Linked DNA regions of Rhinolophus ferrumequinum. The protein of the gene in region 3 binds, or shares a complex with, the protein of the main gene of each other region. Links are inferred from orthologs where the notes say so. Each region holds a gene or a part of one and is shown on either strand. Other genes may lie near its edges. The genes, in order: JADE3, KAT6A, ING5 and BRPF1.

Region 1 (7,280 bases), on a different chromosome or scaffold from region 3:
CATATAGTCAGAGTCATGGCTATGATTTATTAAAGCAAGAGAACACAGAGCAAAATCAGCAAAGGGAAAAGGCACTTGGGGCGAAGTCCAGAGAAAACCAGGCACAAGCTTCCAAGAGGCCTCTCCCAGTGGAGTCACATACGACGTACCTAAGTCCTCCAGTAAAGAATTGTGACAACACATGTGGAATGTCTTCTATCAGGGAAGCTCCTCAGAAACTCAGTTCCCAGGGCATTTACTGGGAGTTGGTCATGTAGGCACCCTCTGCCTAGCACTTACCAGAATTCCAGACTCCCAGAAGGAAAGCAGATGCTCAACGCAAACCATATTGTTTGTACAAACAGTTTAGGCACAGTGAGCCACTCTTATCAGTCCTGGGAATGGTGGGAACTCACCCCAAATCCAAGTTTCCAGATGCCATCCAAGGACCAGCCTTGCAAGCAGGCCTTTCAAAGAACAGCAGTCAGACCTGCTGCTAACTCTTTTTCTGCACAGCTTGAAAATCAGGAGACTTGAATTCTAGCCCCAGCATAAATCACATTTATACAAACAGTTTAGGCATAGTGAGCCCCTTTTATCAGTTCTGGGAATGGTGGAAACCCTCCGGACCTCCAAGCTTCCAGATGCCCACCATGGGCCTGCTACGTTAACTGTTTTCTGCACAACTTCACAACTCTTTTTATGGAGCCAGGATTATACCAAAACCAGACAAAAACAGTATAAAAAACACCCTCAAAACTTCTCTTATGAACTTTGACACAAACATCTACAACAAAATATTAGTGATATAGAATCCAGAAAGGTATAAAAAGAATTCTACCATGGCCAAGTGGGGCTTATTCCAACTATGCAAGGTTAGTTCAAAAATCAATATTCAATCAGTGTAATCTACCATATCCACAGGCTAAAAAAGAAAAATTGTATCAATTGATGCAGAAAAAGCATTTGACAAAATTCAGCATTCATTTATGATCAAAACTCTCAGAAACTAACAATAGAAGGGTATGTTCTCAACTTGGTAAAGAGCATCTACAAAAAAACTGCAGCTAACAGTTTTCTTAATGATGAAAGATGGAACATTTCCACCTAAAATAGGGAACAGGGAAGCATGTCCACTCACACCACTCTTACTTGACATAATAGTGAAAGTTCTAGCCTGCACAATAAGGCAAGAAAAGGAAATAAAAGGCATACAGATAGGAAAGGAAATAAAACTACCCATATTCATATTCACAGACAACATGATTGTCTATGTAGAAAATCCCAAAGAATCTACCAAAAAAAACTCCTAGAACTAATAAGGGATTCAGCAAAGTCGAAGGATACCAGATCAACACACAAAACTTAATAATGAACAATGAATGAGGGAGCTGGCATTAAAAACACGATACTATTTATGATTACTCCAAAGAAAATGAAACACAGCATACACTTAACAAAACACATACAGGATCTGTATGCTGAAAATTTCAAAATGCTGATGAAAGAAGTCAAGGAAGATCTAAATAAAAGGACAGACACGCATATCATGTTCATGGATTGAAGACTAAATATAGTCAAGATGTCAATTTTCCCCAAATTGACATACAAGTTTAACACAATTCCTATAAAAATCCAAGCAAGGTATCTGTATAGATAAGCTCATTCCAAAATTTATGTGGCGAGGCAAATGACCTTGAATAGCTAAAACAAATCTTAAGAAGTATGAAGTGGGAAGAATCACTCAACTCAATGTTAAGGCTTACTCTATAGCTATAGTAGTCAAGACTGTCTGATATTCACAGAAGGATAGACACATAGAACAATAGAACAAAATAGAGAACATAGAAATAGCCCCATACAAACAGTCCAACACAAATATGCCCAACTGATTTTGACAAAGATGCAAAAGCAATCAATGGAAGAAAGATAGTCATTTTAACAAATTGTGATTAAGCCATCAGACATCCACAGGCAAAAATATGGACCATGACCTTAAGTTCATATTTTATACAAAAATTAATTCAAAGTGAATCATGAATTTGAATGTAAAATATAAAACTATAACACTTTTAAAAGGAAATATAAGAGAAAATTTGTGGGACTTGGAGCTAGGTGACACCAAAAGGATGATACATAAATGCAGACATTGATAAGTTGGAATTCATCAAAATTAAAATTTTTCATCTGCAAAATCTCTTAAGAAGATGAAAAGACCAGCTACAGACTTGGAAAAATATTTGCAGACCACATATCTGACAGAGAACTTGTATCTAGAATATAAAAAGAATTCTCAAAATTTGACAGTAAGAAGCAAATAATATATTTAGAAAATGGGCAAAAGACATGAACATATATTTCACCAAAAAAGATACAGATGACAAATGAGCACATGAAAAGATGTTCAACATCACTACCTACTAGGGAAATGCAATTTAAAACAGAGATATCACTACACACCTAATTAGAATGGGTAAAATAAAAATATAGTGACAATACCAAATGCCGGCAAAAATGTGGAGCAAGTGGATGTCTCATACATTGCTCGTGGGAATGTAAAATAGTACAGACAGTCTGGAAAATTTTGGCAGTTTCTTATAACACTAAATTTACACTTACCATCTCATCCAACAATTTGCACACTTGGACATTTGTCACAGAGAAATGAAAACTTACGTTTACACACACACACACACACACACACAAACTCTACATGAATGTTCATAGCAGTTTTATTCTTAATAGGCAAAAATTGGAGACAACCCAAATGTCCTTCAATGGGTGAATAAACAAATTAGTGCATCCACAGCATAGCAATACTACTACCCAGCAATAAAAAGGAATGACCTATTGATAACATGCAACAAATTGGGGTGGATCTCAAGGAAATTCTGCTGAGTGTAGAAAAGCCAATTTCAAAAGGTATGATTCCATTTACATGATATTCTTGAAATAACAAAATTATAGAGATGGAGAACATGTTAGTGGTTGCCAGAGGTTGGGTTAGAGGAAGGAGATGACAGTGACTATATTGGGTAGCAGGAAGAATCTTTGTGGTAGAGGAACAGTTGATTGTGGTGGTTACCCGAATCTACACATGTGATAAAATTGCATAGTACTACACACAGATACAGAACATTACATGTAAAACTGGTGAAATCTGAATAAGGTCTGTGGATTGTACCAATGTCAATATCTTGGTTGTATAAGATATTACCATTGGGGAAAACTGGGGGAAAAGTACATGGGACTGCTCTGTAATATTTTGTACAGATCCTGTTAATGTATAATTATTTCAAAGTAAGTGAAGTATAATAAATGATGTAAGTGAAGGACTACGAATATTTTAGAACTCATACATTTGCATATTATAAAATAGAATTATTTTTAATATGGAAAACAGACAAAATATAAAAGAGCCCACATTTGTGTTTAGCCTAGACATGTCAATGAAAATGACAATGTGTTCATGGTAATTGCACAGGGTACACAGCCAAACCCAGACAGGTAAATCAAAAAGGTTTTGTTGCCTAAACATCTGTTATGAGTCAGGATGCCACCAGAGAAGCAGACCAATAGGACATTATATCTATGTCTATAAAATTTGTTCATTCATTCATTCAAAGATATTGGCTTACACAATTGTGGGGTTGGCTAAGCAAATCCAAAATCTGTAGGGCACACAGACAGAAAGGAATGATCAGCACCCCCCCCGCCCCGATTATCCAGAATAATCTCCCTTACTTTAAATCAATTGATCAGGAGCTTTAATTACATCAAAATATCTTCACACCAACAGCTAGATTAATGTTTGATTGAATAACTCGGGGCTGTAACCTAACCAAGTGGACACGTCAAAAAACTACACAACATCATGAAGCAACTTTGTAAGTGTATTCTGTGAATAGCCACCTTGGCTTTATCTTTATGGGTAATCCAAGCGCTAACGATTTAAATCAATAGTGCCAGACGAGGAGTTTTCTCTACATGAGGGTCCACTTATAGAACTTCGGAGTTAAAGGGGGCTGTGAAAAGCTTAGTTTGTATTTGAATATAGCCAAGGCACCTCCTGTGGTCCTCCCTGGCACACGGCGGGGCCAAGGCTCCTGGCGGCAGCAGCGCACCCAGCAGGAGCAGAGAGAAACCCACCTGGAGCACCGCGCGACGGGTGCGGGAGCACGAGGTGGGCGGAGCCTCGAGGCGCTCTGGCGGTAGCAACGGCTCCCAGCCCGCCAGAAGGGCGCTCGGCGGTCGGCGGGGAGCCAGTCCGGTAGGGCGAGCGCGGCCAGCGGTGGTGGTGGGGGGGGAATGCGGGAGGGGGAGGAAGGAAGGGGAAGAGGCGGAGCGTGGGAGCCCACAGTGTCAGGAATACAATAGTGCTCCGCGCCGCTTCAGCCGCCGCGGTGCCGCCGCCGCCCAACCGCTCGCCGGGCGTTGAGGCCTGACGGGCCCGGAGGGCGAGGGCCGAGGGCGGGAGCTGAGGCGCAGGGGGCGGCCCCAGCGGATCGGGCGGGGGGCGGGTGGAGGGCAGGTGCGAGGGAGGGGAGAGAAGAAAGCGAGCAGTTCGGGGGGCGGTTACCACTCCAACCGGACTCGCCCGGCACAGTGCCGGGCCGAGCGTGGAGCCGGGAGGGAGCTTCGACTGGCTGCACGAAGGTAGGCGCCACTGAGGCCGGACGCGATGCGAGTGGGCTGGGGGGCGGCGCGCCGGGTGGGCACGGGAGGGGCTGCCTCGGGGAGCCGGAGCGGGCGGTGAGGGGCGCAGCGTCCCGGCCCAACCTCGCGGCGCTCCAGGTCGCTCCGGCGTCCCAGGCGACTGGGGGCCGAGAGCGTGTGTGCGCTGAGGTAAAGTGACCGGCAGTGGTCGGCGCGGGGGGCGGGGGCGGGCGCCCGAGCTCGGCTGCAGCCACACTCAGGCAGGCGTGGAGCGCCATAACTGTTGCGGCGGATCCCTCCGGTGCCCCTTCCCGACGCCCCCTCGCTCCCTGTCCTCTGCCTGGTCTCGGGGCTCACGGGGTCAGACCCGCCGCTGGAGGACCTGCTCTGCGGGACGCCTGGAGCCGGATGCTCCCGGGAGCGAGGGCGCGCCCTGGCTGTTTCGATGTTGGGGGGCGGGAAGAACCGTGAGCCCGGAGGGGGGTAGGCGGTGAGGGGAGCGGCGAGGTCCTGGGTGAGCCCGGGCGCCCCGCGGGCTGGCGAACTTTCCCTCCCCCTCGCGTCATTGTTCTGGCGCTGCTGATCCGGGTCCGCCACGACCACCGAGTGCCGGGCGGTCCGGGGGGTGGGAAAAGCAAAAGGGCTTTGCGACGCTTCTGGAGAAAATTTCCCACCGCTGAGCTCGGCAAAGTTAACTTTTCTCCAGCGATCAAGTTGGTCTTATTCTCTCCGCCGTGGGGCAATCGATTAAAAAAAATATATAGACTCCCTCCAATCTTTTTCTCTCTCTTTTCAGAGCCACTGCTTCGGAGAAGTCTGTCTCTAAATTGCACAGGGCAACCTGCGTTTATTATTTGGGAGAAGGGAAGGGGGGCGTGATCTCGAGCGAGTGACCATAATGGTGGTAATGTGAAGGCATGTTTAAAAGTTGGTAGCATTGTGTAGCCCTGGGACATATGGAGCGCCTAGGCATTTGGCAGGAAACTTTTTTGGGCGCTTCTCTGACTTTCGGGGTTGCAAGGAAATACATGGCCTCAGATGTGCACGAGATTTTTTTAAAGTGAGATCCGTTTATCTGTGAAGCTGAGGAGGAGATCCCAGCGTCCCCCCGTCCACCTTCCGCCGTCTGATTGTATAAGAAATCAAAACCATGTTGAGGGTGATTCCACTGGCCTGGAGGGAAAGACAACCTCGTTCCCTGTATTCAGTCTGATAAAGATAACTGTCTGCTTCTCTCTAAACTCTAAAATAATTTAAGTAAAGATTAGTTGCACAATATCTTGGCTTACTTTAAGGAACCCAGAATCCACTTTCCCAGAGTAGTTCTCTTAAATACCTTCCCTGCAGCCACTTCTTGTCAGCCTGGGGGTGGGGGAGAGGGGGTAAGAAAGGAGTGGACCCGAACAAAGCATTGTTTTTATTTAATTTAATACTTTCTTGACATCTGTAAACAATGGGAATGTGGATCCCAGCCTCTGTACACTTTGAATAGTGTAGTTCTCATAAAACATCATATGATTACTCTCCAGATAATTGGGAATAGATGGTTTTTTTTCCTTTTTTGTTTAGCCGAGGAATATTCTACCTCTATAACATATCTTTTTTTTCCATTTATAGTGAGCTCTGAGCTTAAATATTTGAACTGTAGAAGGATAATACCTCTCTTCAAGGGGGTGAAGGGATTACATGAGGTGTTTTGGTAAGTGTTTCTCAGTGTGAGCTACCATCATTGCCACCTTTTCAACTGTGCTTTTCTATAGTTTTGTTTGCTAGAAAAGAGCTCTCAACCCAGTCTTGTTGCCGTGAAACAGTGCCTTTGTCTGGAATACTCAGGGGTTCTAGAACCCACACTTTCTGGCTCACTGGTTTCTGAGTTGCCATGCTCTGGCTTGGCCTTCTCAGGAGTAGGAGCCTGTGAAGCTCCCAACTCCTTCCTGAAGTGTCAGCTAGGAGCCAGGAGTGACTTGGAAGCAGCCTTGACCCACCATCTGGCCTGTAGAGAAGGTTCTCGGGCAGGACAGATGATCGTTGGGAGCTCTCATCAGAGTTGAGACATGAAGAAGAAAGGGTGTAGAAGACGTTCAGGTTGAGTATGGTCCTCTTCTTTGATAATGCTTGTCCTTTCCCTCCCTTGTGTTTTCACTGCCACAGCAACCCATTTCTCCCCTAAGCTACACAAAGCCATTTCTTCTTTTTGCCCACTACTTTGAGGTCTGGCTAGAACTAGGCAAGTATCTGGGGGGAAGTTGGGGAGGCAGGAAGCAGCGGATGTTCGTGAAGACATGGCATTACAGAGGGCTCTTACAAGCCTTGAGAAGGGACACAGGTTGAAGGTAGAGGTCCGACGCTGGCTGACATTAACATTAAGAAACTCTCTCATCGGGATAACTTACTATAACCTTTACTTACCTCATGTTATAGGTGAGGGATGGGTGTTGGGGGACACCCCTCTGGCACTCTCCTGAAATGGCTACTAGTGGGACACTTGAATGGTTTACAAGTTTCTACCTGTTCCAGTTACAGTGGCTGGGAAAGCTGAAGCATTCTGGTTTGTGGGGTGGGGAGGATCTAGAATGAGAAGGTAGAAGTGGTGAACGAATAAAAGAGTGCTAGCAAGTGGTCATTACAGACCAAGTAACTACTGC
Region 2 (7,744 bases), on a different chromosome or scaffold from region 3:
AGAAAAGATCTTTATTTATTTATTTCCAATTTGGAATGCCTTTTTATTTTCCTGACTTATTGATCTGTCTCGAATCTAGAGCAGTGTTGAATAGAAGTGGTGACAGCCAACACCTTTGTCTCGATCATGTCTTAAAGGGAAAGTATTGGTCTTTAATTGGTCTTTAATGGTTTAATTGGTCTTTAATTAAGTATCATGGTAATTGTAGATTTTTCACAAATGCCCTTTTATCACTATGAGAAGGTTCATAGTTTGCTGAGAGATTTTTATCAGGAATATTTGTTGGATTTTGTCAAATACTTTTTCTGTATCTGCTGAATTGATCATATGAATTTTTTCTGTTTTAGTTTGCTAATGTGAATTATATCGACTGGTTTTTCAAATGGTAAATCAGCCTTGCATCCCGGGGATTAAACCCAGCTGGCCATAATATATTATCCACTATATATAATGTCAGACTCAATTTGCTAAATTGACCAAAAGTCAGTGGAAAGAATATACATAGAAAAAAATCCACAGAAGATCTAGCTATTGTAATGATCAGGAAGAGATTTAAAATAGCTAGACTTATACGTTCAAGAAAGTATAGGCAAAGGTGGAGAAAATAAAAAGATGGAGAATTGCTCCAAATGAATTGGATTTTATTTTTAAAAAATCATATGAAATTTCTAGAACTTAAAAATACAATGACCAATATTAAGAATTCAATAAATAGATTTAAGAGAAGATTTAGGTAGATGGATAGAAAATTCACAGACTCATGCATAAAGAAAGATGTCAAAAAAATGGTAGTAAATACAGATGGTAAACAATGAAAAATTCTGACATATGTGTCACCGAAGTCTTAAAAGGAAAAAAGAGATAAGACCAAGAATTTTCGAAAACAGATAAAAGATACCAAGCTACAAATTCAAAGGACTTCACGAGTGGCACATGCCACTCATGAACCCAAGTGGGATGAATACAAAGAAAATCACATCTAGACATATCACAGATTATTTGTGGAAAACTAAAGAAAAAAAATGTTAAAAGGAGCCAGAGGAAAAAAGATATTAGTTTCCAAAGGAATAACAATGGAATGATGGAAACCAGAAGACAATAAAAGGACATCTTTAAAGTGCTGAAAAGAAAATTTGCCAAACTAGAATGCTATCTATACTCAGCAAAAATATGAAAGATAAAATGAAGTTTTTAGGCAAACAAAAATGGAGAGAACTTGTCACCAGCAGACCTACTACAGTATGAACAGAGGAATTATTGAGAAAGAAGGAAAAAATTCCAGTCAGAAGCACCAAAATGTATATTGGAACAAGGAGTAACATAAAGGGTAAATAAATATGTAGGTGAATATAATGAATATTGACTGTAGAAAACACATAATTATAAAATGTTGTATGGCTTAAAATACCAGGGGTGCCAAATAAATGTATACAAGTGGACACTTTGGTCAACATTGCTCAAGTAGTAATTCGCCGTCATCAGAAGTGTCTGGATGCTGATGGTAACCACTTTGAGCACCTCTTGTAATTGCAGAAGACAAACGTGACTTGTATTCATCTTTTGTTATCGGTATATATTGAGTATTACAATTTTAATACAGTTTTCCTTTCTTAAAATGTGTATACATTTTTTTGGCACCCTCTGTATATGCACAATTAAAATCTGTGACAATAAAAACCACAAAAGTGGAAGGGTGGTGGAGACATAGTATTCTAAGGTCTTAGCATTATTGGGAAAGTGGTATAAGTAATTATTTATGTTAGAGTGTAATAAGTCAAATAGGCAGGCTGTAATTACTAAGATTTCTAAAAGAATGTATAACTAATAAGCTAATAGAGGTTAATGGTATAATTAAAATATTTTAATTAATTCAAAAGAAGGCAAAAAAGAGAATAAGGGATGTAAAGTAAGTGAACAAAAGAAAATAAATAGCAAGATGGCAGGTAGAAATCCAAATACAGCAGTAATTATATTAAATGTAAATGGACTAAAAGCGTTTCCTGTTGAAATAAGTATAGAGCAAACTTCCAATTTTAGGCTTAGCTAGAGTCAGCATAAAAATGTAACTACCTACTACAAGTGAAAAGGCAGGGATTCCTAGTGCAAAATGTGGATGAGGGAAATAACATAGCTGGCAACCCTGCAGGGCTGAATTCTGAGTCAAGTTTGAAGCAAGAAAAACTGTCTGTTCAGTGCTGTGGATTTTTTTTAACATTTGAAAGACGAGGACTTTAATCTGTCTTTGTTGCAGATCTTTTGAGAAGACCTCCTGAATGTGCCCTCAAGTTATGCAAATGTAAAGCAAAGACTCTCTATGGAAGCTGTTTGAAAAGCTAAACTGTTCTTTGTTGTTGCAAATTGTTTTAAATTCTTGCTACTGTACTCTAGTTTGGTCTTCTCACAGGAATGGCTGTAGCTAGTTTTCTTCCAAATTATCCAAAGGCAAACACAGTTCATCTCTGTAAATGTTATTTTTCTTCTGAAGACCACACACTAGTCTCACGCGAAGAACTCATTTTCTTTCTATTAACATGACTTTATCTGTTCTCTTTGGGAAATAAAAACCTTTCTTTATTCTTTTAAAAGAGAATCTCCCTCCACCTTTTCTTTCCTGTATGTATTTCCATTTCACAAAGAGCTCTCATTTTACCTGAGAACGCATCTGTCTGATTCATCTAGGATGAAAAATATCCTTTCTAATAGATTAACTTGTACCTCCAAATTTCTCTCCTAATTTGGCAATGGGGCTTGGAAGTAGGTGACGGAGGGTGATGAAGTAAATCTCATCACACCACACCACATTTATGTTCTCAGTGTCAGTACTAGGATATTGAGTTGGCTGGACCATCATCTGAAAATATGTTTTTATGTTGTTATTGAGTGGTCTAGACAGTCTAAGGATTAGAGCAGAGAAAAGCTAAGAGATAAGAAAGTATAGGTTGAGGAATACACCAGGTTTGAGCTGGAGGTGGAAATTCCGTCTTTTTCTCAGTGGCTTAAAAATTTTCATTCACTAGCAACGTTTTGAGTCTGTACTACTTGTAACACAGTAATGGAGATGCAAAGAGGCATTCTAGAAGAACATACAATGTTACAAAGGCCACACATCCTGTCAAACGAATAGGGCAAATGGTCAGTACTACAAAAGTTCAGAAAAGGAAGTAAGCATGGAAGTTAAGGGAGTGAGTGGGAGGGTGGTCTTTAAAAGGTAAAGCTGGGGTAAAATGAGATGTTAGAGAAAATATCGTGTTTCCTGGAAAATAAGACCTAGCGGGACAATCAGCTCTAATGTGTCTTTTGGAGTAAAAATCAATGTAAGACTCGGTCTTATTTTACTATAAGACCTGGTCAATATAATATAATGTAATATAATATAATATCCCAGTCTTATTTTACTATAAGACCGGCTCTTATATAATACAACATAATATAAGACCGGGTCTGGTATTAATTTTTGCTCCAAAAGAGGCATTAGAGCTGATGGTCCCGCTAGGTCTTATTTTCCGGGAAACAGGGTAGTCTACGCAGGATGCACAAAGCAGATAAAGGTCTAGTAGCAGGAAAATACTTCCACACAAAATTATTAACGATTTAGTATGTCTTTTCATTTGTCATTTACTGCCTTTCCAATGAATGTAGTAAATAAAATTTAAAAAGGGTATGATTCAATCTCGAGAGACAAGACAAAGAAACCAGTAGAGGACAGACATGCTATGAAAAAAGTGCCAGTTCGTGGTTCAGCCATAAATTCGGACAAGAGCAATTCTGCATAGGGCACGAGAAGACAGGCGTTGGAGTAAGGCAGATCTAGGCTCCAAACTCAGATGCGTGCCACAAAATAGCTCCGTGACCTTGTGTAAATCTTACGACCCTCGTCTATGCTGTTTTCTATGAAAACGTCTCTAGTAAGGTCCAACAAGTCTCATTTGTGGGGAGGGTGAAATCATTGTGGTGACTTGACAAAGAGCTTGACACGAGTGTCTAAGTTTCTACCCTTTCTCCCTTCTCAACACACCTCCTCTTTTTCCTACAGTAGGAGTGAGATGTGTGGGGTGAGTAAAGTGAGCAGAAGGGGAACGATGAAGGGAGGCAACTTCCTCTCTGCCCTTCGCCCCCTCCCCACCACACAAGCTCCCGACCTCAGGTTCCGGGAGAGTCACCGTGGAAGTGGGCTGAGGGCACATAAGTGGGGAGGGAGGATCTGCTAACTGTAAACACAAACGCCATCAAGAGTTCAGAGCCCGTCTGGCCACCGGATTTCCGTGCCACACTGAAGCCACCCCACCCATGCGTCTGCTCTCAGTTTCCCCAGCTGTGTAATGGGGATACATCATCTCCTCCTCTCACTGGTATCTGCCCGACCTGACCGTGTGTGAAAGGCTAGAAAGAGCCCCCAGTTTTTGGCCTCCAGCCCCATCAGGTCCTCCTCCCGCTTTGGCTTTGGCCTTTTGTACCGGCCCCACGTGACCCGCCCGGCCCGCTCTTCCCTCCTTACCCGCCCCGCCCTCCGGCCTTTCCCGGCTCTCGGCCCAGCTCTTCCCGCTCCTCTGCCGCCCCCCTCCCGCACTCTCTCTCCCTCCTCCCCCCTCGCCTCCCTCCCGGGCTGTTGCCGCTCCCTCCTCCAGGCAGCCGTTCCTTCGCGACGCTTCCCCTCCCCCCGCGGCTGTTCCGCCGCCTCGCCTCCCCTCCCCCCGGCCGGAGCTCACTGTCTCCAAGATGGCGGCCGTGTCAGTTTGGGGCATCTCCGCGGTCCGGCCCGGGGTCCTGGTATCCCGGCTCTCTTCCTCCCCGGTAAGTAGCCGAGAGGCCACCCTCGGCCGCCCCCAGCCGTCGAACCCGAGGCTGAGTCGCTCTGGGGCCCGCTCCGCCGCCTCGCGGGGTCGGCAGGAGGCTGCAGGCCCCGTCGCGGCCTGCGCCGCCTCCCGCTGCTCTGCGCCAGGCCTCGGGCTGGGGCGCCACGGCCGCCCCCTCGCGCCCGGCCGGCGCCCGGCTTTCCCCGCCCCGTGGTCCGCGCGCCTCCGGCCCAAGGTCCCCGCCGCCCGCCGGCGGGCCGGGCCCAGCCGGGGAAGTCGGCGGGTGGGCAAGCGGCGAGCGGCCCAGGCCGCAGAGCCTCGGGCTGGGCTGTGCCGTGCCGGCAAGCCCGCTCTCCCTCGGGGGCGCGCCCACCTCCCCGGCCCCACCTGCGCCCGGCGCTCGCCGCCCAGGCCCGCCCGGCCCCTCCTGCCCGCGCTCCGGGGCGCTCCCTCTTCGGTTGCGGCCGGGTGTGCGGAGATCCGAGAGGGGCTGAGGCGGCAAATGGGGGTGACAGGCTGGCGGGTGTTGTGGTGCGGAGGAGGCAGCACGTGTGGTGTTGTGTCTGTCGGGCTGTCAGCCCGGACGCTGGGAGGGGAGGCGGCGGGCTGCTTGTCAATCGTCGGCCGGTTTGGACAGGAGCTGCCGGACCTGTCAGGCTCTTCGGGTAGCCTGCATGCCCTAAACCCTCCTTGGAACCCGCCTCTGTGGAGCTGAGGATTTGGAGGAGCTGGGAACGGGTGATACATTGCTCTTAACTCTTTCACGTGATTTCATTGTTAACTTAGTCCTCGGGTTCTGTTTCCATCTAATGGGAATGGCGAAGCCACCCGTTGGCAAGCTTCAGGGTTGTGCTGTTCCAAGTTTTTAAAGTTTCTCGCTCTTTAAAAAGAGAGCGCGAAGATGTGTTTGTGGGTGGGGAATGGAGGCCGGGGAAGAACTGTCGGAAGCAAGTTGTGCTTTCTCTTTAGACGCTGGTGTAAAGTTCAAGTCTGCAGGCCCTTTACTTTGGTAAGACCTGGACACTAGTGAAAATCCCGGCCGGAGAGACAATGAATAACTGTCATTCATTCTTTTACCTGCGAGCTTAATCAATTACGTTTCCAACTTCTTAAACTCAGGTTGTAGCTTCTTATTTAGTTTAGCGTTAATATCTACATAATGAACTTTCGTGGAGTAATAATAGTATGATTTCTATTCTCTCGAGACTCTCACCAAAATGAAGCATAGCTCTCAGGGGGCTTCTTTTTAGTCAGATTAAAAATAAATCTTGGCTCAGATTTGAGTGTTTACTTCAGCCTTTTTTTTCCTATCCGAGTTAATAGTACTATCCCTTTCCTAATACCTGTTAGTTTTCCTTTGGATTTTAATGATACTTGTAAGAATAATTGCTGTGGGAGCCATTTTTTTTTTTTTTTCTTTTGTTTATGTTGTAATGTAAATGTTCCTCAGATTAAGAACAGAGGTTCTAAAAAACACAAAAGTAAAATTAAATTTAGTTTTGAAAGCAGAGGAGTTGTTTAGATTGTGAAAATTCATTATTTTGGTGATTTTTAAAAAGATTTGTATATGCCAGGTTCTTTTGTCTGAAAGAAGAATATTGACTTTGATCCTGGAGAGGCAGTATATTTATGTTTGTGTTTCATTCGTTAATGTTCATTTCAGGACAGCAGTCTTGAATCTTTATGAGATCTTTGTAGACTGGCAAACAGGGAATAAATTTTTTTCTGTACCATACGTTTGATATGTAGTCTGTGCATTTGAACATAATGATTCTGGGCCTTTCTCATTTCTAGTTTCTCTCTCTGTAGATTGGTTATGAACATTTTGACAGTTGTTACTCCCTCCAAGTACTTTAGTTTGGCTTAGGAGATGCTATCAGCATGTAATTCTTGAAATTTGAATGAAATTGGATTATTTAAAAATTCCTTAAGCACTTTTCCCACTTGACTACTTTTCATATTATTTTTGTTTCCATTTGGAATGTTTAAAGTATATATTGCACTTAAAGTATGAACTTGATCTGTGTGTGTAAATTGTATTTGTTGTTTTTCTAATGTATGAAATAGTTAAAATTTTCTTAATTGTTTTCTGCCTATTCTACTGACTGTTTTATCCAGTCTGAATGTCTGGAATTTTAAAGATGAAAGATTCACTTTTACTTTCATTACAGGATTCTTTCTACTAATCCAGATACTTGTTGAAGTGCTGAATAGTTTCTTGGGGAAAGATGTCAAGGAAGAGTTTCAGTTCATAGACTGGTGAGCAGAGATTATGGCACACAGAATAGCCAGCACCCTCTGGTTAATTGTAGTCTAAGGTTATTCACAGTGCATCTCATTTTGTTTCCTCATTGTATTCTAATTACTCATTTCATTTCTTTTCTTATTTATCCCAGTGGTTTACATACATGATTGTTTTGGAATGTTGATAGAAACATGTTAAAATTCCTACAGGTGCTCAATAAACACTTGCTATTTGATTGCTTTTAAAGACTAGGATGTTTCAGTTATAGCTTATTTACAAGTGGGACTTGATAGAAAACTGACTTTGTTTTCATTGTTTTTCAGGCATAAGATAAACATTCTTCTGCTGGGAGTGACATGTTCCTGAGTTTTTACAACTTTATGAAGAGACCCACATGTGGTGCTATTGAGAAATTTATTGGGAAGTTTGAAGACATTTCAAATAACTGGTAGTTGCGGTTTCTAAAGTAAAGTGGGGAGGCATCTATTTTATGAAAGGAGGAAGGACTTAGGCCAGAAAACTTGTATGCTATGGTTAACTGGTTCTCAGCCTCCGAGAATGTTGTTTTCCATGGTGTAAAACTTACTCAGCATCAGGATAAGGGATAACGACTCTATGGATATACGAATCCTTCACCATGGTAAAACTCGCTAATCCGCTGTATACGGAATGGATTTTGGAGGCCATAAAAAAAGTGAAGAAGCAG
Region 3 (7,478 bases):
AAGAACTATTTCTTCGGCTCAGCGACGTCATGTCAAATGATGTCAGCATCTTAGTAATTCTCTTAGCTTTTCCTTCCTGGTCACAGGGTGACTGCAGCATTTCTAGGCATCCAGTCCTTGCTTTGTGGCCCTGAGGTGGGCACAGGAGAGCCCTTGCAGCTGGACGTTATCTCCTTTGTGCTCTGCTGCCCTGGCCGGTCTCAGGCCCGATGCAGCGTGTGTGCCCAGTATGAGGGTGGTTTCTTCGTGCTCCCGTGGAGTCCTTCCAATAGGCAGGCGAGCACCAGGGTGCCCACTGCATGGAGGAGATGACGGAATGCTGGGTCTGAGTGTGCTTGCAGACTGGTGACACAAATGTGGTCCGAAGTTGATAACTGCTGAAACTGGTTGATGGGTACCCGGGGTTCATTAGGTTCTACTTTTGTGTGTTAGATTTACTATTAAAAGAGAAAAGACACAAACCCTTTTACTGTCCTCAGTGTGTTGCACCTTCCGTCTCACAGGAACTGTGTCAGACATTGATACTATCCATCAACGTCTCTCTTTTAGCTGGGCCGCCATAACAAATACCACACATGGGACGACTTAAACATCAGATTTATTTTCTCACAGTTCTGGAGACTGGAAGTCCAAGATCAAGACACCAGGAAGGTTGATGTTTGGTGAGAACTCTTCCTTTGGGTGGCAGATGACTGGCTGTGTCCTCACCTGGCCTTTCCACTGTACAAGTGTGGGGAGGGACGGAGAGATCTCTGGTTTCTTCTTTTTAATTACCTCTAGTCACATTGGAGGTTAGGAATTTGAACTATGAATTTTGGGGGGCTATTCATCCATAGCACTTACCTACTTCCAGAAGAAGAGACTGTGCTGGGCACATCACTGCCCTGCTAGAATCCATTTCCCAGCTCTCCTTGCACTTAGATGTGGCCAGGTGACGAAGTGACCACTAATGAAATGTGAGCAGAAGTGGCATTTGCTCCTTCAGACTGCAGACTGAACTTTCTCCCTCTTTCCTTCCCTGCCTTCCTTCAACCCAGCTTTGACCATGAAGATGATGGTGAACCCTTTTGGGAGTAGACATCGTGCTGGAAGGAATCTGGGTCCCCAAGTGATGCCATGAGCATAGCTGCCTGCCCCTGGACTGTTAGATAAGAGAGAAAATTCTATCTTTTTTTAACCACTGCATTTGGTTGGGTTTCTTTGGTAGAGTAGCTTAGCCTTCCCTTCAAGCACTGGTTCTCAATTGGGGGACATTTTGATTATCAAAACTTTGGTGAGGGTGCTCACAGCATCTACTGGGCAGAGGCCAGGGATGCTGCTAAATAGCCCCCAAGACACAGGACAGCCCCCACAGCAGGGTATCGGGCCCAAAATGTCAGTGGAGCCGAGGCTGGGAAACCCCACACTAGAGTGTATAGCAATGAAAAGAGGTAGTAAGGCAATCAGCTCTCACTCTGGCAGCTTCTAAAACAGGGTCTCTAAGAGAATTCGTCAGTTTTCTTCTGTGCGTGAAAGACAAACTTATTTGGCAGAAACTATTTATATGACACAATGGGCATGATATATGATTTATTATTCTCTATGATAATAGTTATTTTTTAGATGAAAGGCAAGAAGACCAATTTCTCCATGGATAATGGGTAAAGGACGTCAAGAAAATTATAGAAAAACTACAAATAGCCAACAAATCTGTGAAAACATGTTTAGACTCACTTAAAATGAAATACAAATTGAAACACCGAGGTTGGTTTTTGGGGTTTTTTTCTATCATGTTAGCAAAGATAAAAAACCCTGATGAAATCTAGGGTTAACAAAAATGTAGAAACATCCTTAGTGGGGTGTCAGTTCATTTAAAAGTATCAGCACTGGGGTGGCTGGTTAGCTCAGTTGGTTAGTGTGGTACTAATATCACCAAGGTTGCCGTTTCAATTCCCACATGGGCCACTGTGAGCTGTGCTCTCCTTAAAAAAAAAAAGAAAGCATCAGCACTTAGAACATACACTACTCTTTGAGCCAGCAATACCATTTCTAAGAATATTTCTGAAAGAACAAAGGCAACATGGTAATTAAAGATGGCTACAACCCTTGCTACTCCTCCCATTGAGAGGTGGGGTCTAATTTCCCCTCCCCTCAAATTGGGGTTGGCACTAAGGAATTGCTTGACCAATAGAATGTAGTGAGGTGATGTCTTGGGACAAGAGTCTTATAGCTTCCACTGTGGCCTCCTGGAACTCTCTGGAAGCCCCGAGTGGCCACAGAAGAAGTACTACTGCCTGGGACCGCAGGGCTGGAGAGGCCACATGTAGGCACTCTGACCCAAGGTGCCAGTTGAATGCAGCCTTCCAGCCACCCCAGTGATCTCTATGGTATCACAAGGAACAGGAGAATCACCCAGCTGAGCTCTGCTGGGATGCCTGACTCATAAAAACTGTGAGCTGTAATAAAATGGTTCTTTTAAAACACTGTTTATTATGCAGCAATAGGTAACTGGGACATTTGTATGTCCCTACCTCTATATGAACCATTGTTGACCAGAGCATTGCTTATAGAAACACTGTACATTTGTAAGGAATTGGTTCAAGTGTGGCATAGTGACACAATGAAATACATCTAGCAAACAGGATGAAGAATTGAGCAAAACATGGCCAGAATCCATGAAGCATATTAAGTGAAAGATGTACATAGTGAAAAAGTGGATAGTATGACTCGCCAATAAGAAAACAAACAGCCCAACTGAAAAAGGGGCAAAAGATCTGAACAGACACCTCCCCAAAGGATAAATACACATGGCAAATATGCACGTGAATGGTGCCCAACATCATGTTCTCAGGGAAGTGGAAAGAGAATGGGGCACCTCTACACGTCTATTGGAACAGCCACAATTCGGGGCAGTGACCACACCAGATGCTGGAGGGGATGTGGAGCAGCAGGAACTCTCAGTCACCTCCGGGAGTGGGGTGTGCAAATAATGCAGCCACTTGGGAAGACAGTTTGCAGTTTCTTACAGAGCCAAATGTAGTCTTACAGTGTGATTCAGCATTCACACTTCTTGGTATTTACCCAAAGGAATTGAATATTATGTCCAAACAAAAACCTGTATGAAAGAAACAACATACCAGCTTTATTCATAATTGACAAAACTTGGAAGCAACCAAGATGTCCTTCAGTAGGTGAATGGATAAACTGTGGTCCATCCAGACAATGAAATATTCAGCATTAAGAAGAAAGGAACTATCAAGCCACGAAAAGACAGGGAGGAAACTTAAATGCATATTACTAGGTGACAGGAGCCATACATACTGTGTGAATCCAACTGACATTCTGAAAAAGGCAAATCTATAGGTGTGGGTGGGGGAGGGCAGGGAGAAGGATGGATAGGGGGAGCACAGGAAATGTTGAGGGCAGGGAAACTATTCTGTATGATGCTGTAATGGTGGATACTTAACTGTATGAGAGTGAACCCTAAAGTAAACTATGGACTTAATAATGATGTATCAATATTGTTTCACCCAATTAATAAATGTACCACACCAATACAAAATACTTATAATAGGGGAAACTCTATATGTGTGGAGGGAGTATATAGGAACTATAGCATCTCAATTTTTCTGTAAACCTAAAACTGCTCTAAAAAATAAAGTCTATTAATTTAAAAAACCTCGCCACTTAAAAGAATAAAAAAGGTGGACAGTATTTAAATTACGTGTGTGTGCACGTTTTCTAATCAAGCATTAAATGCAGCCAGAAAGAATGTACCCAAACTACCACTTGGATTCAAAGGTGAACAAGATTATCACAGTCCTGCACCCAAGGGGGGGGAACTGTATGTTCTTGTATAGTTTGAATTTTTATGATGAACATACAATTGGCCAAAACACGAATACGCTTCCATTTTTAAATATTTGGGGTTTAGCGAAGACTTCAGTAAAGGGGGATACATCTTAATGCATTTTTCAATAATGAAACTACTGCTCATTCATTTGTCAGGGTACGCCACTTGTAGGACCAACTCCCTTAATCTCAGGGGCCAAGTAGGGGGTGTGGTTCCGGGCCCAGACCCCTTCCGACTAATGGCCAGCTGTCCATAATGAGCGGGCGGAGGTCCCGCAGAACCCCTTCTCCGAGGAGCCCTGGGAGCAGCCAGCGCTGAAGAAACGTGTGCGCCGGCCCAAACACCGCTTTAACCCCCACGAACATGTGTCCCGTCTCCCCGTTTTTTTTGCGCGCATCCGGTGCACTTCGGTGACCCCCTCGTCCACTGGAACACGTTTGTCACTCCTCGCAGGCACCTACTCTGCGTCCAACCCCATACAGGAGTGGGCGTAGGCTCCCCGAGCCACGTGTCAGAGTCGGTCGGCCGAGTGGGCGGGGGCACGGGGACAGGAGAGCGCCCAGATCTTGCAGTTGCCCCGCCGGCGGGACCCCAGCCCCGTACCCGCGCGACACCGCTTGCACCCCGCCGACCGGAAAGCAGGGGGCGGTCCCTGCCATCAACCCGCCGCCGCCGGCCGGCCAATCAGCGCGCAAGCTTCATTAATAGTGAACGTACCGGCCCCGCCCCCTTGCCTCTCGCGGCGCCGCCCGCCCGCGCAGACCCAGAGCGCGGCCGCGGACGAAGATGGCGACCGCCATGTACTTGGAGCACTACCTGGACAGTAAGCGTCCCCCGCGCTCCCTGGGCCGCCGCCCGCGTAGGGCCCTCCCTGCCGTGCCCCGCCGCACGTCAGGACTCGCGCGCGAACCCCGGGGGTCGTGGAGACTACGGGACTCCAGGGGGCGACGGGGCCGCGCGTGGGGCGGGGCGGGTACGAAGGAGGGACGCGCGCGCGCGGGGAGGGTGTGTGCAGCACAGGGTCCCGCCATCGCGGCCGCGCCAATTCTATATGCGTCATGGCGGGGCGGGGCCAATGCGGGCTGCCCCGCCCCTTCGGCTAGGCCCCGCCCTCCTCTAAACAGGCCCCGCCCGTTTCCTCGGCCCCCGCCCTTCCGCCTCCGCCCCTCCCCGACTGGCGTCTTCTTTCCTGCCTACGCCCCGCCCCTGTGAGGCCCCACCTTCTTTGGTTCGGGGCCTCTCGGTTTGGCCCCGCCGTCTCTCCCAGGCCCCGCCCTCCTTCGATAGCTCCCACCCTCTCCGCATCCACCCCTCCCCGATTAGGCCCCATCCACCTCGGCTCGGCCCCGCCCCTCTGCCGTCTCGGTCTCGGTCCCGCCCCCACTGCGCAGGTCCAAGAAAGTGATCCCAATCCCCTTGAACTCTTCGGGGGCTCCGTGCCTGGGGTCCCCGGGTTCGCTTCTTGGCTCTGAGCCTCAGCTTGTGCATTTGCAAGATGGGGAGGTGATGCTGGCGTGCAGGGCCTCCCAGGGTGCCTGCCTTTCCGCGGGGGTACTTACGGGGCTCGTTAAGGTGTTCATGGCCAACGTCTCTGAGGCTCCTCCCGCAGGCGTCCTTCTGTTTACCTGTAGCTCAGGATGGACCCTGCTGACCACTCCTGAGCAGATGGTTATGCCCCTCATTTCGCAGAGGCTGAGTAGCTTGTCGGGGGCATGCACGTGTGGACTCTGGCTGTCTGGTTCCTGCTGGGGCATGGCCTGGGGGGATGTTGGGTGGGGTTGGACTGGGTGGCTCTGGATCGCTGTGCTGCACTGGGGATAGTCATGGTCACTGGGGCCTGGGCGCCCCTCCCGAGGCCGCTGAGAGGAGTGAGCCCCTGCTCTGGGGGAGACAGTGGGGGTCAGCTTTCCTCAGGGGGTCGCCCAGTCCTGTCCATTTGTTGCGCTCTGCCTGCCCATCCTGAGCACTTGTAGGGTTAGACTTCCCGCATTGTCACCGAAGAGGCCGGTACCCAGCTAGGGAGCACGGCCACTTGCCTTTCTGTGTCCCGCTGCCTGCCCAGTGGGCCCTGTGGGAGGGTCTGAGGAACCTGAGTCACATCACGTAGGTACCTGCTCACTCCTCGAGCACCTGCTGTGTGCCAGGGAAACAGTCACAATCCCCATTTTCCTGACACCTGTCAAATGGGCAGAAGTACTTTAGAAAGCTCACAAGATTAAGGGTTGTGAAGGAGCCCAGCAGACCTTGAGAGTCTTGCAGAGGCCTGAGTGGTAGGACAGGGCAGGAGGCTGGGGAGTCTGGGGGCAGGGCTGGGACTTTGGGCGGCTCTCGGGGTGAGCTGGGGAGTGCTGGGGCTTTAAGCAGTGGCTTTGAAACATTATGTTGAGCTTTTAAAATGACCGCTGGCCACTGGCCGGTGGGCAGTGTGGAGGGGGCCGAGACCTGATGCAGGAGCCCAGTCAGGGGCTTGTGGAGGCTGTGCAGGCTGGGAGGAGCTTGGCCTGCACTAGGAGGATGGCTGTGCAGGCTAAGCAGCGTGGGGCGAGGTCCTCATCATGTGCCGTTCAGCACGGCCTGTTTAACTTGAAATGAATTAAACTTGAGCGAAATTAGAAATTCAGTCCCTCAGTGGTACTAGCCTTGTTTCATGCATTCAGTGTCCCTGTATGACCAGTGCCCATGTTTTGGGCAGCTCAGAGCACATTTCCATCCTTGTGTAAAGTTCTGCCCAACAGCACTGGTCTGTGCTAGCAGTGCACTGGGTTGCAGAGTCAAGTGGGGGAAAACCAAGGAAGACTCCAGGATTTGGGACGGGCTGGCTGTGGGGAGGGGTTTGGGGTAAAAGGTCACACGGCCACCTTCTCAGCCTCTGCTCATAGCTTGTTTCTAAGTTCACCTCCAACTTCTCCAGCTTTGACAACTTCTGAAGTATAGTGGCCTGTTACCAGTGTTTGGTACTCACTTGTCCCTACGTAAAAGATTTCTTAATCCTTGTGCTCCCAAACCCTAACAGAAACAGAAGACAAAGTGGGCTTATTATCTGCAAACTTTAGCTATAAAGTCAAGAGGGCAGATCTGTGTGCTGCTACTGAGAACTCCATGTCTGTGTGTTTCAGGTATCGAGAACCTTCCCTGTGAACTTCAGAGGAACTTCCAGCTGATGCGAGAGCTGGACCAGAGGACAGAAGGTGGGTTTTTGCCTTCAGTATAGCCAGGGAGAGGTGGCACCAGGTACTGGAGTGGCACTGGGCCACCAGGGGACCCGGTGCAGAGGGGCCGCAGCCTCGCCCTAGGCTGTGGGTGTTTGACGGTGTCTTAGCGAGAGTGCTGATACTGTAAATCAAACTTTGTTCGTTGGATTCTTACACATCTTCAAATCACATCTCTATAAGTATCATCCCCTCCTTACACACAAAATATCTGTGACCTTTTTTCCCTTTAAAAGATTTTCTAATTTCAAACTATGTGTGTATAGTATTAAAAAATTAGTGCTTTTGATTTCTTGATATTTAAGTTCCTGTTTCTAAGCCTCACATTTTGCTGCTATTTCTTATTCTATTAACCTTCAGTTTTAGACTTTGTTCAGTTGTTATGGAAAATGGACTTACTCTGCAGTTGCCCCCACCCGGCTCATGCAGCTCGCCTC
Region 4 (7,780 bases), on a different chromosome or scaffold from region 3:
CCAAAAGGTCACAGACCTTTTCTGAACCTGTTTCCTCATCACAACCAAGGCTGCTGATATGAATACTTCCCTCCTGGGATTCCCAGGAGGATGGAATGTGTGGGAAGCAATAGTAACTCCATAATAATGCCTAATAATTGTAGGACTTTTGATATAACCTGTTAGGCATTTTCATGACTTCGAAGTGGAGTTAAGAGGGAGGGGGCCAGCATGGGTTGATGTGGGAGAGGCCAATCAGCTGAGGGGTGTTTTTTCTACAGCAATGGAAGAGTTGGATGGTGACGATGTGCGCGTATCCTCTAGAGGACGCTACGCAGAGCGGGACATCGTTCAGGTAGACTCACCAGGGAGAGGAAGTCATGGAGCTGAAAGGCATGGTGGGAAGGAGAGGCCAAGTTGGCAGCCACTCTACCTTACTGCCTTCTTAATCTCCTACCTTTCTCCCCTCACTCTTTCAGCCTTCCTGCATTCCTTGAACAAAATCTTGGTGAGAAAAAGGCAGGTTGCTGCAGCCATTGTGGATTCATAGTATAGGAGATCCTCAAGGCCCCTGCCCTCTAGTGGAGGCAACCAGTAATAATCACACAGCTAAATACCTCACTAAATTGTGATTAAGTGCTCCCTAGAACAGCAAATGCCACTACAAAAGCCTATAACAGGGTAGTCAGGAAAGGTTTCATGAGGAAATGACATTTGAGCTGAAACTTAAAGGAGGGTATAAACATTACAGGCAGTGGAGCCGCACGTGAGAAGGCCCTGAGGCTCAGAAGAATTGGCCCAATCACAGAAAAGGCAAGAGGCCAGGGTACAAAGATCACAGCAAGTGAGAGAAAGAAGGAGCCAAGGCCTCGTCAGTCATGGTGAACATTTGGGGTTTTACTCCAAAAGAATTGAAAAGCTCTTGAAGGATTTTACATAGGGGAGTGAGATGGTCAGACTTCCATTTTAAGAGGATCGCTGCTGCAAATGGAGGATGGACTGAAGCAGGGTGAGAGAGAAGGCAGGGAGAGCCATTAGAAGCCTTTGAAGTAGTAGTAGAGGGGAGATGAAAGGAATCTGGTTGGGAATGGAAGCAGTGAGGATAGAAGCAGGTTCAAAAGATTATTTAAGAAAAATTTTACAAGAGTTGATTTAATTAAATGGTGATGGAGAGTGAGTGGGGCTTCAAAGATGACTCAGTTTTCTAGCTTGAGCAACTGGGTGAGTGAGAGTCCCATTTATTGGGAAAGGGAAAGGTGAAGGAGGAGCAGATTTGGCAGGACAGGCTAGAATTCAGTTGTGAACACATTGGGTTCGAGGTATCTAGGGCAATTGAACGGAGATATGATACAGGCAACTAAGTATGTGATCTGGACCTTACAAAAGAGGCTAGGGGTGGATATATACACTTGGGAGTCACCAGGGAACAGGTTTTAGTTAATGAAGTGTATAAAATCACCCAGGAAGACAACTGATAGACAGAAGGGACCAGTTTATAGATCAGGTAGACCCAAAGGTCTAGGGGAGTAGGGAAAGGGAGCATCCGGAAAGGTAGGAGAAAATTCAGCAGAGTGTGGTGTGTCAGGAGTGTCCAGGAAGATTATGGTCAAATGTAAGAATGGAAAGCTGAAGAGAAGCAAGATGAGGACTGACTATTACTGCCCACTGGACTGATTGGGGAATATGGGGCTGTTGACGACTTTAGCAAAAGCCATTGCAGTAAACTGCGTGAAGCCAAACTGGAGTGGGTTGAGAGTAACTAGAAGGTGTGTGGAGGGGAAGTGGGTGGGGAGAAAGCAAATGCAGAAAACTATACAAAATAGGTGGAGAGAGATAGTGTGATATTTGTAAAGAGATGTTAGGGGGTCATAGCGGAAGCCCCCTTACTGCCCCCTACCCCACTCCCCTCTCTCCTGGCCACCACCCATACCTGATTATCTCTGCCTGTCCCAGTTTGTCCCATTCCGAGACTATGTCGACCGATCGGGGAACCAGGTGCTGAGCATGGCCCGACTAGCCAAGGACGTGCTGGCGGAGATCCCGGAGCAGCTGCTGTCCTATATGCGCACCAGAGACATCCAGCCTCGTCCTCCACCCCCTGCCAACCCCAACCCAACCCCAGCTCCTGAGCAGCCCTGAGGGGCCTACCTATCCGATGCCTAGCAATCTGCCCACATGCCCACCCACTGCTTCTGCTGAAAGCCAGAGGCACCTGGAGCCCTGGAACTCACTGGAAGGCCAGCTTGGAGGATCAGTGCTGGCTGGTCAAGCCCTGTGCCCCCTCACCCACAGAAGGGCCTGGCACTCTCACCACCTCCCTGCCTTCATGCAAATAATAAAGCTGATCTTTACTCCACCTCTGTCTCATTGGTTTTGGGGAGGGAGACTGGGGGACCCAGGGCCTGGCACCCCACCAAGAGAAGGACGGGTAGCAAGGATGGCTTCAGCTGGGTTCATCCCCATCCTAATACATATTCATCCGATCATTTCCTCATTCTTTAAACACTTTCAGAAATAAGTGAAACTATGTGTGTGTGTGTGTGTGTGTGTGTGTATACTTTTTTTCTCAGAGAGGCCATAGTTTTCATCAGACCCTCAAAGGGATTCCTGACCTGAAAAGTAGTTGACTTTAAGATGACTGTATGACTCTGCTCTGACCCATTTGTTATTTTTTTGAGTGAGGATAATAAAAAATAGCTAATGTTTTGTTTGAGTGTTCACTACATATCACACACTAGGCTGAGACTTATAAGCATCATTTTATTTAATCTTCACAAAATCCTGTGACATAGGCACTATATTTCCATTTTACACACGAGATAAAGTAACTTATTGAAGAGACCTCATCAGTTTGACTCCAGATCCCAACATCTTAACTAGCAAACATCTTCCTGGAGTGTCAATTTTATTGTTTTTTTGGAAGACATTATATACGAAAACACATATATTATAATGGGTAGAATGCAAGGTATGCGTTAACATAAAAGTGAAGTGGGGCAGCCGGATGGCTCAGTTGGTTGGAGCCCGAGCTCTCAAAAACAAGGTTGCTGGTTCAGTTCACGAGCCCCCTTGCAACTAAGATTGAAAACGGTGATTGGACTTGGAGCTGAGCTGCGCCCTCCACAACTAGATTGAAGGACGACTTGGAGCTGATGGGCCCTGGAGAAACACACTGTCCCCCAATATTCCCCAATACAAAAAAGTGAAGCTTCCAGATCCTTTGGGCTTTGTTCCAGAACCACGGAATACCCTGCCCGGGTGTCCCTCGGGCCACTCCAGCCCGGAGAACTGACAGGGCATTCACTCCCTTCCTTGATGGCAAAACTGGAGAAGCTCTGCGACAAGCATTATTTAACAAGTCAACTCTCCGCAGCCTAAGTTCTCCAAAGCCCCCATGAATTAACAATAAAGCTTTCAAGCTCCATTTTACAAATAAGGAATTTGAGGTAGGGAGAATTTAACAACTTGCACTAGTTCACAGAGCCACTAAGTAGCCCAGCCACATTAAAACCAGCTGTCTATTTTTCAACCATCTTCCAGCCGGCATCCCTGCAGCCATGATGCATCTCCCCTCCAACCTACAGGGTTCCTGGCATCTGAATCCCATTTGACGGTACACAAGCCCTTTCACACCCCAACAGCCCTCTGCACCTCCCCAAATCTGGCCCCTTCCTTCAGATCCACACCTTCCTTCCAGTCCCGTTCCTTTACCTTTCCCAAGATTCTTCCCTTTCCTTCGGCCACACCCCGGTGTCCCTAACCCGGTCCCGCCCTTTCCCTCCAGTCCCGCCCCTTTACCTTACTCAAGCCCCGCCCCTTCCCTTCAAGCCTCCCCTCGTTTTTCCCAGCTCTATCCTTTCTCCCTAGTCCAGCTCCCCAGGCCCACTCTTCAGTTTAGCCCCACCCTGAGCCCTCGTTCAGTCCCTATTCTTACTAGGACCCACTCTACAGATGGCCCCACCCACTCTCCGCAAACCCCGCCCCGTAGACTGGTTCAATCTCTTCCAGCCGCCCCGCCCCTACCCATAACTCCGGGCCTCCTTTAGGCTCCAGCCCGCGTCCCTCATGCTCCGGTCCCTGCCCCCCAGCCCCGCCCCATGGCTCCGGCCCCGCCTCGCCGCCTTCTTCCGAGACCAAGGCCAGGTCCCTACCGCAGCCCCGGCGCCACCAGTAGGGAGTGAGAAGGGAGGGAGGAAGCTGAGGGGGAAGGGAGAAGGGCGGGCTCCTCACTCCCAGACCCGCGTTCGCCGTCCGTGGCCGCAGATTCGCCATAAACGGCCCGACCACTCCGGATCGCGAGTACCGCGACTTCAGTTTCCAGAAACTCACCTCTAAGATGGAGGTGCTAGAGAAACCTTGTGGGGTGTCCAGGGACCCTTCCGAGTCCCAGAGTATGGCCCCTGGAGCCTCAGCGGGCGGGCGGGGTTCTGTGGCGAAAGTGCAGCTCGGCAGCGCCGCGGCACCACGTTTACCCTGCGCAGACGCCGTCGCCGCCGCTGCTGCCGCCGCTGCTGTCCCTGCCTTTGCCGCCACCGTCTCCGCTGCCGCCGACCCCGCTGCCTCCGGGAGCCTCCATTGTTCAGGCGGCGCCGGGTCCAAGACCCGGCAACTTAGGGGCTCTCGAAACGGGAGGCGGACGACGGAGTTGAGACACCGGGGCGCCGGCGGGACCCGGAGCGGCAGGGGTCAGCGCGGGAATCCCGGGGAGCCGGGGCCAGAGCGTGGGGCGGCAGGGGGCCGGGGTGGCGAGGTCTGCAGCCTTCGGAGTTGGGGCTTCTCCTCCCCGGCCCATCTTTCCCCGCCGGCCTCCCCAAGTGGGGTCGGAGCCCCGGCGGGCAGCCCCGGCGATGAGCCCGGACTCGAGGTGGCCGGTGAGTGCGGGCCTGGGACCTGGGCGGGAGTGGCCAGCGGGGAAAGGGTTGGCTACTTTCGTGGGGGCGCACTGAGCTGCCCTGCCCGGGTGCCCCTCGGGCCACTCCAGCCGAGAGAACTGACAGGGCATTCACTCCCAGCCGGCATCCTGGGGCAAAATTGTATTCTTCGGGGCTGCCGGGGCCAATGGCAAGACGGGGAGCCTTGTTTAACTTGTTACACTTCGACAAAAGGGAAACGTCGCCGCATCCGGGAGGGCTGCGGGCACCGCCTGGGCCCGGCCTGATCCCTCCGGCCCCCGCCCCCTACTTCCTCCAGCCCCTTGAGCTCCACCGCCGCCACACCCCTGGGCCCCGGGCCCTACCCACGGGCTTTCAGGTCTAAGTTCTCGCTCCCTCCCCTGTGCCTTTGCTGTTGAGTCCCAGCGGGACATCTGCTCGGGGAAGCAGAGCCGCAGCCTTCACCAGGGACCCTTCATTGAAAGTGGAGAGGTTGTTTGTTCCTCCACTTGGTCTGTGTTTCAAGACACAGCCCCAGGTAGGAAGAAAGTAGAAGTGAGCTGGAGTTGAAGGAATAGTTTTACTGATGTGGAAAGTCAGGGACTTTGATGGAGAGTCTGAAGCCGCCCATTTGCTTGGTTAAGTAACAGGAGGAGAGAGGCCTAGAGGGGTCACTGTTTGTCATGGAGCTCAGGGTGGCACTGCCTGGAATAGTGCCAAGCCCCTAGCTGAATTGTTAAACTCCACTATGCCTGGAGAAACTGGGGCAGTCTCTGACCAAGCTGGACTTCCTGGGGGCTGGTGCCATCTGCTGTCTCCATTCACCTAGGAACACTGGAGAGGAGAAAGGGAGGGCCCTGAGGACCAGCATGGAGCTGAGTGTAACTGGATTGCCTTGTGTGTACCCGTAGGGCCTGTACCAGGGCCAGGGCCAGGGCATAGGCTTCCCCAAAAGAGCTCAGAAATGAACAAATTATTTCTATAATCCAGTGATTTCTGCTGGAGACTGAAACTAAATCATTGGCTACCCGTTCAAGCGTCTACATGGGCTAACACTAGCTTTCATCTGTCTCTCTCAGCTCCAAATCTGGTGGTCCCCTCATTTAGTTATCATTTGACAGTTTATTCATTCATTTGCCGAAAACGGAGTGTCCACAACATTCCAAGTACTGGGAATATAGAGATGGGTAGGCTCTGGTGACTGCACTTGAATGGCTCCCAGTCTAGTAGGAGACAAAGAGGTAAGAATGGAAAGCTATGGAAGCACAGTTCCCCACAGGAGAGACAAAGAAGTCATAACAGAAGAAGTGACATTTGAGCTGGGTTTTGAAGAATGAGTAGGAGCTTACCAATCAGAGGATGGAAGGTGTTCCAAATAGAGATCATCTTGCAGGAATGAGAGGTTATAACATTCAGGGACTGGTAAATTGCCCTGGATAGACAGAAGCACAGCTGTAACTGGTGAAAAGAAAAATCTAAAAAGGAGGACCAGGGCCAGACAGTGAAAGAGCATCTTACATGTCGTCATAGGGGTTTGGATATTATCCTGAAGTAAGTAGGGAGCATCGGGAGGCTTTTAACCAAGAAATTGAAATGATTGTTGCTACTTAGTGGAAAGATCACTCTGGCCACGTTATGCAAGATGACGCTAGAAGAGTTGAGACATAGGTTAGAATGACCAGGCAAGAGGTGATGAGGCTCAGACTATGGCCATGGTGTGAAGCAGATGGCATTTGGAGATCCTGTGGAGGTGGGTTAGCCAGGATCCTTGGGGAGAGGGAGGGCTGGAGGGAGTGGAGTGAATGGCCAGGAGCTCTTCCTGGGTCTATGCTAACTGACCTATAAATTCCAGATGTGACAGCATGGGGGTGGACTTTGACGTGAAGACTTTCTGCCACAACTTGCGGGCGACTAAGCCACCATATGAGTGCCCCGTGGAGACTTGCCGCAAGGTCTACAAGAGTTACAGTGGTATCGAGTACCACTTGTACCATTATGACCACGACAACCCGCCGCCCCCGCAGCAGACGCCACTCCGCAAGCACAAGAAGAAGGGGCGCCAGTCCCGCCCAGCCAACAAGCAGTCACCCAGCCCCTCAGAAGTATCCCAGTCCCCGGGCCGTGAGGTGATGAGCTATGCACAGGCCCAGCGTATGGTGGAGGTGGACCTGCATGGCCGTGTCCACCGCATCAGCATCTTTGACAACCTGGATGTGGTGTCAGAGGATGAGGAGGCTCCCGAGGAGGCCCCTGAGAATGGCAGCAACAAAGAGAACACGGAGACGCCGGCTACGACGCCCAAGTCGGGCAAGCATAAGAACAAGGAGAAGCGCAAGGACTCGAACCATCACCACCACCATAATGCTTCCGCCAGCACTACTCCCAAGCTGCCAGAGGTGGTGTACCGGGAGTTGGAGCAGGACACCCCTGACGCCCCGCCCCGGCCGACTTCCTATTACCGGTAAGGCCACCTCTGCCTCCTAACTCTGAAACACTGGTCTCGCAGGGCTTAGGAGCCGGAGAGAAGTTACAAACAGAAGATAGGAGAATGGCAAGGATAAAGGACAGCAGCAGCACACTGGTCCACCCAGGCCAGTGAACGGAATAGTACCCCAACTAATGATGGTGGCACTTACTGTGTTAACGCCGCCACATTCCAGGCCCCGCACTGGGTGCTTTATGGCCACACCCTCATTTTATTCTTACAACCCTCCCAGGTAGGTATTGTTCTCATTTCACAGATGAGGAAACCACAGTTCAGAAAGGGTGCCAAACTTACTGAGAGTCACATGCCAGTACGTATCAGAACTGGTATTCAAATCCAGGTTCCTCTGACTCTGAAGCTACACTATTTCCACTGTATCAAAAGATACCTTCTCTGTTCCTGACCTCCTCCACTCCATCACGGTGTGACCTTGGGAAACGCATCC

What was found.
Region 1: ING5 (region 3) and JADE3 share a complex: the UniProt entries of both Homo sapiens proteins name them as parts of the HBO1 complex. The link is inferred for Rhinolophus ferrumequinum from reciprocal best matches to the Homo sapiens genes ING5 and JADE3.
Region 2: ING5 (region 3) and KAT6A share a complex: the UniProt entries of both Homo sapiens proteins name them as parts of the MOZ/MORF complex. The link is inferred for Rhinolophus ferrumequinum from reciprocal best matches to the Homo sapiens genes ING5 and KAT6A.
Region 4: ING5 (region 3) and BRPF1 share a complex: the UniProt entries of both Homo sapiens proteins name them as parts of the MOZ/MORF complex. The link is inferred for Rhinolophus ferrumequinum from reciprocal best matches to the Homo sapiens genes ING5 and BRPF1.

The regions. Positions count from the first base shown.
Region 1 is NC_046284.1:86,935,928-86,943,207, reverse strand, and holds the start of JADE3 (protein Jade-3), read left to right. Parts: upstream 1-4,218; 5' UTR 4,219-4,249; intron 4,250-4,335; exon of another isoform or gene 4,336-4,635; intron 4,636-6,252; 5' UTR 6,253-6,321; coding exon 6,322-6,334; intron 6,335-7,280. UniProt on the Homo sapiens protein: Scaffold subunit of some HBO1 complexes, which have a histone H4 acetyltransferase activity.
Region 2 is NC_046287.1:58,404,406-58,412,149, forward strand, and holds the start of KAT6A (histone acetyltransferase KAT6A), read left to right. Parts: upstream 1-4,669; 5' UTR 4,670-4,791; intron 4,792-6,964; exon of another isoform or gene 6,965-7,052; intron 7,053-7,361; 5' UTR 7,362-7,675; coding exon 7,676-7,744. UniProt on the Homo sapiens protein: Histone acetyltransferase that acetylates lysine residues in histone H3 and histone H4 (in vitro). Component of the MOZ/MORF complex which has a histone H3 acetyltransferase activity. May act as a transcriptional coactivator for RUNX1 and RUNX2.
Region 3 is NC_046291.1:127,926-135,403, reverse strand, and holds the start of ING5 (inhibitor of growth protein 5), read left to right. Parts: upstream 1-4,441; 5' UTR 4,442-4,618; coding exon 4,619-4,655; intron 4,656-6,948; coding exon 6,949-7,020; intron 7,021-7,478. UniProt on the Homo sapiens protein: Component of the HBO1 complex, which specifically mediates acetylation of histone H3 at 'Lys-14' (H3K14ac) and, to a lower extent, acetylation of histone H4. Component of the MOZ/MORF complex which has a histone H3 acetyltransferase activity.
Region 4 is NC_046300.1:44,171,332-44,179,111, reverse strand, and holds the start of BRPF1 (peregrin), read left to right. Parts: upstream 1-4,763; 5' UTR 4,764-4,850; intron 4,851-6,702; 5' UTR 6,703-6,712; coding exon 6,713-7,311; intron 7,312-7,780. Other genes in the region: CPNE9 (copine-9), read left to right, coding at 261-334, 1,933-2,118. UniProt on the Homo sapiens protein: Scaffold subunit of various histone acetyltransferase (HAT) complexes, such as the MOZ/MORF and HBO1 complexes, which have a histone H3 acetyltransferase activity.